2 linked regions of the Xenopus tropicalis genome follow. The protein of the gene in region 2 interacts with the protein of the main gene of each other region in a pairwise test. Links are inferred from orthologs where the notes say so. Each region holds a gene or a part of one and is shown on either strand. Other genes may lie near its edges.

Region 1 (3,817 bases), about 13 Mb from region 2:
CAACCCCCTTTTTGTGGTTTTAAGGAAAATCTAAACTCAGCTATCCCTGAGTTTTGTATCATAATTACGATAAACTTAATCACAACACTCATTCTGAAATTGAAATAAAGTGCCGGTGGGTATCACAATCTATGTGTGTTATAACTGATAAATATCTATAATGAATAACGTGACCAGTGCTTTTTGCTTTAAATTACCATAAAGTGACCGTGTCATAAAAACCTGTGCATTCTGCACTGCATTCAGCCATGTAGCATCAGCTATGACAAATGTAACCTTATTTTTGCAGCATAATTTCCAACGACCCCTGAGGTTTCCTTCTTTACAGTATCCAACAGCACACTGAGCATGTGCAGTGCCACTGACACTCAAAAGATGGCCTAACAAGACCCCAAGAATGGGAGGTTGCTGTATACAAATTCGAAAGCATGGATCATTGCAGTTATAGGGCTGCTGAACCAAAGGTATTTTACTGTATTGTTAGTTAATGTAAATGTATTGCTAGCCATGTTCTTGTTTACCCTTCTATTTTCCTACATGTTTAAGGATAGCATGTTCAGCTTTCAAGTGCTGCCAGTTTACGCCAACTCCTCACCTTAACCAATGGGGAGCAACTGTGAAGTGAAGCAACCTAGGGTGCAAGTTCCCAGAGTGAGCGAGACGACATGGGCATGCACATAACATAACTGGGGGTAGTGTGCCTGGGGAGTCACAGACATGCATGAGAAGTAGACCGGGGAGATTAAGTAAAACTGCATGGGGGGCTGGTAAAAAATCAGGCATTTGCATTAAAAACCACACGCCCATATGATTCTATTGCTTTACTTGCCCTTGCAACAATAAATGATATAGTGCTTTTTAGGGCAACCAAATAGAGCCAAGCTAAACACACCTTTCTTGGGAGCAGCGGGCTTGATGAAGTACGGGAGAGTCTTCATGGCTCCTCGGAGTTCTTGTTTCAACGCCAGCATATATTCCACCTCCTCCCCTGTCTGCAGGGGTACTGGTTTGTATTCCAGGTTCTGAACAAAACAACAAAGAGAGTAGGATGATATACACAGTGTATAGCTCTTAATGGAGAAGAAAAGATGAAATCACAGAGGGGGTGCCAAATGTTAGGCACCCCCCAGTAATTATAATTACTTACCTGATACCCCACGCTGGTGCTCCTGTTAGCAGAAAACTGCAGCAGCCTGGGGTACTTCAGACCTAGCACCACTGCATTATCTACATCTTGTTTCTTCTTCACTTCAGTAAAGTGAAAAGCCAAGTTTGCTTTTTCACACACATGCACACATGCACCCTGGGTGATTGAGGAATGAAGAAGTGAAAGAAGAGGATTGTTCTGTGGTGCTTGCTCAGAGTACCCCAGGGCAGAGCAGTTTTATACTAAATGGACCACCGGCCCAGAGTATCAGGTAAGTCATTATAATCACTGAAGGGAGTGCCCCCCCCCCCCCAGTAATTTAACCATTCCTTGTCCTTTAAAAAGAAACTGCAGGGAATGTTTAACAAAACTGTTGTACATAGAGTTGCTGCATGAATTTCTTTTGAGTTCCGCAACCTAACATGTTTCCCAGCTGTAAACAACACACCCTACTGTCAGTCACTGACAGGTAAAGTCCAGTCTGATTCCAGCATGAGTATGCAATGCACTACTGACACACAGCATGGCTGGGTTTTCTTTCAAGTGAAAAAAGTTAGGAAAGTAAGGAAAAAATAATAAAACCTATTAGTACAAAAAAATGAATAAAGACCTAATACTATCCAGGTAAGTAGCATTTAAACCCATGACAAATGAAAAATAAGCCTATGTATATTCTATAAACATAACAGTATAACTAAAAGGCCATTATACCTTAGGGAAGGCCACATGTATCTCACTTGTAAAGGGCCCATAGTAGCAAACAGGTGGATGGCAGGCACAGGGGTGGGCAACTGGGCACTGTAATGAAAAATGCAGACCCTGATCCTGCCACCCAACAGGCAAAAAGTCAGAAAGCAATAGAAGGCAGTGCACAATGGGCAGACAGGGAAAACAGATACTAAAATGCTAAGATATGGATCAGGAGCCTGTAGTTCACTGCTTCTTGCTGAAATTCAGTCTGCTGACTCCAATAACACATATCAGCAGTCAAAAATATGGGGAGTTGTGGTTTAGTTACAATATGTTCCCCACTCATGCCTATTTTGGTACATTTCTATACATAGCATGTACACTTTAAAGGAAAGTAAGTAAAAAATCTATTCTACCCTGCTCCAATAATTGCCCTATCCTGCACACCATTTATTATTTTGAATGCTTTATTAGAAAATTTCTGCTAAAACCCGGCTTCCGGTCATTTGAAATAAGGCGATACGGCGATGTAGAAGCAGAATCCACTACGCGACGATCAATCCTAGCCTTCCTTCTGTATAGGAAGGAGTCAGGCAAGGATCGATCAAAGGAGTCAGGCTGTGATCGATCAATTCTGCTTCTGCATCGCCTTATTTCAAATGACCGGAAGCCAGGTTTTAGCAGGTATTTTCTAATAAAGCATTCAAAATAATAAACGGTGTGCAGGATAGGGCAATTATTGGAGCAGGGTAGAATAGATTTTTTTACTTAAAAATTTTTAGTGTTACTTTTCCTTTAATACCAAAGCTGTATAGAGCTTAACTTACCGGGAACAACGGGGGAGGTTGGAGAGTGGGTGGCGGCAGTGCTTCCCCTCTGGTAATTCCAACAGCTTCTACATTAAAGGTCAGTTGGCCCCGACCGCTACCTCTGCCTTTTCCAGCCATCTTGTGCTATGCCCAAGAAACAGTAGAATAACCTAGCCTGGGTATAAGAGATATCAACATCACCTGACATTTTGTATATGTTGTTGTATATTTTGTTTTTGTATATATCTCATGACTTCCTTCATGTAGTGTATAGCAATCCAACAATGTTCCACCATCCAGTAAAAAGGCTTCCCAGAAGAATATGGGTTGGTATAACAGATAACATATTCATATTAATACCCTTGGCTAAAGATCTCAAAGGGCTATTCCACCAAACCCACAGACTTGTATTTCTACCCACTTGGACCCACTTCTCACTATAAAACTGGAAGCTTTATCATCAGACCAAAAATGTGGTCGTCATAAACTCAGAAGTAAACTCATCCAGGAGCAAGGGGAGGTGGCAAGTAAGGAAAAGGAACCCAGCAAGGCAGCGACCCATTGCCACATCTGCTTTTCTTGGCTGCAACTGGCCAAATACCTGTGTTTCTTCAGGTAAGATGGACTATACTTTTGGTTTCATTAAAATAATGTGGAACTATGATTAAGTGTGTTTTTGGGCACAATATGTGTAAGGTTGTAGAGATAATGTTATAAACAGAGATTTTGACTACTATTTTGTGCCCTTTGTGGATAAATTGGATTACCCATCACCTATTTTTGCTTTGTTATGGTCTTTCTGCTTCCCTGAGCTAAAGGTCAGTAGCACCCAGACTGCTTTCTTGAATTGGTATGTCTTCTACATAGATTTGTGCTTTGGTGCCCTTCTGTTTTGTTTTGTTTTAATTAACAGAGACAGTGGACAGGTAGATGTCCAGATACTTGTGGTCATCCAACACTGGGTTTAACTTTTAGTGCTCATCATCTATTTTTACTTTGTTATGATAGCCTGTCGGCTTCCCTGAGCTAAGGACCTGGAGCAGCAGGACCACTTCTTTTTTTGTTTTGTTTAAATTCATTAAATAATGGACAGGTAGGTGTCCAGATACTTTTGGTAATATAAGGTATCACTTGGGCTAACGTTCCCTTTAAAGGGGTTGTTTGCCTTCAA
Region 2 (4,265 bases):
TGCCTGTCACTGGAAGCGACCATTTTATTGCTGTTGCATCAGTGTAGTACATTGCCGCTACTTCCTGAAGGGTCGAAGGTAATGCAACATAAGGCCCAAAGTGTGCCCAGTTGTAGCAACCCATAGCAACCAATGATTGTATTTGGTGCCCATTATACAAGACCTGCTTGATTTAGGTGTTTATACCTGCCCCTTAAACTACATACCCCTCAAGGGGTTCTGCCACAAGGTACCTGGTCCATTTTATTGGAAACAGCGCTGATAATAGCCTGGTCCCGGAAGTGCTGGTGGAACCGCTCCGTGTTGACTTGCCAGTAGACGCCATCATCTTGGCTATCCTGGGCAGGGAGACCAAGGAGGAAAGGGTAAGTTACAGGCAAGACAAGAATGCAGGGCCATATTGGGGTGAACGATGAACACCCACCTCTGCTTCCTTTTTTGGTCTCTTGGCCTGACTGCCTCCATCGTCATCATCAGATGATCTGCGGCGTTTGCCCCTGCCTAGAGCAACAATAGGCACAGCATAACAAGGGGTATCCAGTAGCACCCCTTCCTACATTGTATACACCTCCGGGCAGTATCGGAGAGCGGCTGCCCCACAAGGGCACTTACCTGTCATATTTAGCTTAGGGACGATGTACATTTCCTTCTCATTCATCTGCAGGGTTGGGGCAAGTGGTGGGCGGCCCTCCGTGGCATCCTTCTCCTGCACAGTCGGGCACCGCTGCACAAAGTGTGTATCTGCCAGGTGGGTAAAGGTGGCAGAAACCTCACTGTACTCCATGCTCTTGCTGTCTGCGCAGGGAGAACACAATACACAGGGCTTAGCTAATGGGCTTAAAGCATTGAGCAGGTTCCTATTATTCCTCTACAGTACACATTCTTTGCGGTACAGTTCCCAGTTATGCGACTAGATTGTAAGCTCTTTCTGACAGCTTCAGACTTTCCCCCTATAGAACTAGACTGCAAGCTTCTAGGGGCTGAATAAATATTAACCAATTTACCAATAGATCTTATGCTATGTGGGACAGGGTGTGCCATTATATAACTAGACTGTAAGCTTCTTTGGACAGCCAAAGGGCTTTCCATTATATCACTAGACTTTAGCCCCAGTGGCTAGATTGCAAGCTCTTTATGTTAGTCACAGGGGCTCCCATTCTACCAATAGACTGTAAGCTTCTAGGGGCTGAATATTTCCTTATACCAATAGATGCTCGGGTATTTGGGATAGGGTGTGCCATTATATAACTAGACTGTAAGCTTCTTCAGACAGTCAAAGGGCTTTCCATTATATCACTAGACTTTAGCCCCAGTGGCTAGATTGCAAGCTTTTGATGTCCATCACAAGAGTTCCCAATCTACCAATAGACTGTAAGCTCCTAGGGGCTGAATATTTCCTTATACCAATAGATGTTAGGCTATGTGGGACAGGGTGTTCCATTATATAGCTAGACTGTAAGCTTCTTGGGACAGTCAAAGGGCTTTCCATTATATTTCTAGACTTTAGCCCCAGTGGTTAGATTGTAAGCTTTTTATGTCCATCACAAGGGTTCCCATTCTACCACTAGACTGTAAGCTCCTGGGAGATGAATATTTCCTTATACCAATAGATATTAGTCTATGTGGGACAGAGTGTGCCATTTTATAACTAGACTGTAAGCTTCTTTGGACCGCCAGAGGGCTTTCCTTTATATCACTAGACTTTAGCCCTAGTGGCTAGATTGCAAGCTCTTTAGGTTAGTCACAGGGGCTCCCATTCTACCACTAGACTAGACTGTCAGCTCCTTGGGGCTGGGTCCCCTATGCACACCCCTAGATTTCTGACACTCACAATATAAACCAGGGCAGCTGACAGCCAGAAGGGATGATCAGGTTGCTGGGCTGCCTATCCCAGAAGGTTGCCACAGGGCTACCCCAAGGCGGCAGTCATTACCTTCCATGGTCTCGGTCAGTCTGTCGGCCACTTTCTTTACTGCGGCGCTTAGTGTCATTTTGCCATTGAGCAGCAGCTCCTCCACAATCAGCTCCCCCGTGTCCCCGTACAAGGTCTTTGCCGTGTAGATGTAGCGCGGGTAGCGCAGTATGCGCAGGAAGCGGTCGACGTGGGCCTTGTACTCGACAAAGCCGCGTTTGTTCAGCTGGTAGGTCACCAGGTTGTGCTGTATCAGGACACAAAGGGCTTTCTTCACCTGTCGGAGGAAAAAACAGTCCATCAAGGGACGGGGACTAGTTGGGGGCAGTGCCCAGGGAGCGAGAGGGTTAAACTTGCCTGATCCAATGACGTCCCTGTCTCGTTGGCGATCACTCTCAGCGGCTGGTTGCCCGTCCGTATCAGAAAGGTCCCCACTCGGTCCACAATCTCCCCGTAATGTTCCTGCAGCAGCAGGGAGCACAGCTTGCTCTCAACCGCACTCATCTCCCGGCACCGGCTGAAACAGAGGGATAGTTATAGTTGTACTACACCCTATAATGCACTATCACTGCTGCTATCCCACTGCCAGACATATACATGACTATAAGCTTATGTCCCAACAGGGGCTGAGGCCCCTCATCTGCCCAATGAGGCCCAGGCAGTAGGGAAGCAATTGTCTGAGCCGTCAGAACTAAGGCACCATCATAAGTTATGGCTGAACTACAACTCTCAGCTCCCACAATCCTCTGCCAGCGCCTCCATGCAGCCCTAGAGTGAAACTCACACCAGAATTCTACCAACAGCACTCACATGGCTTCCGCTTCCTGTCAGCTGACACCGTCCGAACGTCACCTTGGTTACCACATAGCAACTTCCGGTATTAGTAACCCCCCCCCGTTCTTCTCTTGAACCTCCTTTTGGGCTGAGGGGGCAGTGGAGGAGGCTGATTGGAAGACTCGCTGGTGCTGGCAGGGGATAGAGCGCCGTGCGGGGTCACTCTTGCCTCACAAGCCCCGATATTGGGAGGGGTTGATTGGAAGACTCGCTGGTGCTGGCAGGGGATAGAGCGCCGTGCGGGGTCACTCTTGCCTCACAAGCCCCGATATTGGGAGGGGTTGATTGGAAGACTCGCTGGTGTTGGAGGGGATAGAGCGCCGCCGTACGATAGGAGACGTTCGTGTAGGCGAGTCGGCGGTGCTGGGAGGACTGACGTGACGCGGTTCCCAGCAGCAGCAGCCGGAGCTGGGGGAGAGCGGGTAGGGATCATGGCGGAGGCGGCAGCGGTGTCTCAGCATCGGTTCTTCTGCCATCACTGTAAGGGGGAGGTCAACCCCAAGCTGCCGGTGAGTCCCTGCGGGGGAGTGCGGGGCCCAATTGGGGGGTGTGTGGGGGAGGCATATGGGGGGCCGGGGGGGGGGCTGCTGGGCTGAGGGGAACGAAATGGGCCGGGGTGGGGTATGGTGGCGGGGAGGGGAATGTTGGGGGCCGGGGGGGGGGGGGGGGGAGTGCAATGTAAACAGTGGTTGGATGTGTGGCCCGGGGGGAGTGGGGAACAGAGTGGGGGGTACGTGCGGGGGCACTGGGGTGAGAGGGGGGGGTAGAGGGGCTTGGGGTCCCGGGGGGGGGCAGGGTTAGGGAATGTGGGGGACAGGTTAGATGTTTGGGGGGGGAGTAATTGGGTTAATGGGGGATGTAGGGAGGCCGAAGGGAGGGGTGCGGGGAGAATCTAGGGGACAGGGGAGGGGTACTGGGGTGGGAGGAAAGTATAGGGGGGGCTTGGGGTGGGATGGAAATGTAGGGGGGTGGGAGGGGAATGTAGGGGGGCTTGGGGGTGGGAGGGGAATGTAGGGGGGCTTGGGGGTGGGAGGGGAATGTAGGGGGGCTTGGGGGCGGGAGGGAAATGTAGGGGGCTTGGGGGCGGGAGGGAAATGTAGGGGGCCTGGGGGCGGGAGGGAAATGTAGGGGGGCCTGGGGGCGGGAGGGAAATGTAGGGGGGCCTGGGGGCGGGAGGGAAATGTAGGGGGGCCTGGGGGCGGGAGGGAAATGTAGGGGGGCCTGGGGGCGGGAGGGAAATGTAGGGGGGCCTGGGGGCGGGAGGGAAATGTAGGGGGGTGGGAGGGAAATGTAGGGGGGCTTGGGGGCGGGAGGGAAATGTAGGGGGGCTTGGGGGCGAGAGGGAAATGTAGGGGGGCCTGGGGGCGGGAGGGAAATGTAGGGGGGCTTGGGGCGGGAGGGGAATGTAGGGGGGCAGGAAGGAAATGTAGGGGCGGGAGGGGAATGTAGGGGGGCTTGGGGGCGGGAGGGAAATGTAGGGGGGCCTGGGGGCGGGAAGGAAATGTGGAGGGGCTTGGGG

Evidence for each region.
Region 1: the proteins of polr3c (region 2) and polr3gl interact in binary tests that used the Homo sapiens proteins (3 or more experiments, as listed by UniProt). The link is inferred for Xenopus tropicalis from reciprocal best matches to the Homo sapiens genes POLR3C and POLR3GL.

What each region holds. Positions count from the first base shown.
Region 1 is NC_030684.2:128,432,584-128,436,400, reverse strand, and holds part of polr3gl (DNA-directed RNA polymerase III subunit RPC7-like), read right to left. Parts: intron 2,822-3,817; 5' UTR 2,785-2,821; coding exon 2,665-2,784; intron 1,023-2,664; coding exon 893-1,022; intron 1-892. UniProt on the Homo sapiens protein: DNA-dependent RNA polymerase catalyzes the transcription of DNA into RNA using the four ribonucleoside triphosphates as substrates. Specific peripheric component of RNA polymerase III which synthesizes small RNAs, such as 5S rRNA and tRNAs.
Region 2 is NC_030684.2:141,778,862-141,783,126, reverse strand, and holds the start of polr3c (DNA-directed RNA polymerase III subunit RPC3), read right to left. Parts: upstream 2,816-4,265; 5' UTR 2,723-2,815; exon of another isoform or gene 2,697-2,722; intron 2,430-2,696; 5' UTR 2,417-2,429; coding exon 2,270-2,416; intron 2,190-2,269; coding exon 1,934-2,189; intron 796-1,933; coding exon 613-795; intron 502-612; coding exon 425-501; intron 339-424; coding exon 234-338; intron 1-233. Other genes in the region: E3 ubiquitin-protein ligase RNF115, read left to right, coding at 3,178-3,255. UniProt on the Homo sapiens protein: DNA-dependent RNA polymerase catalyzes the transcription of DNA into RNA using the four ribonucleoside triphosphates as substrates.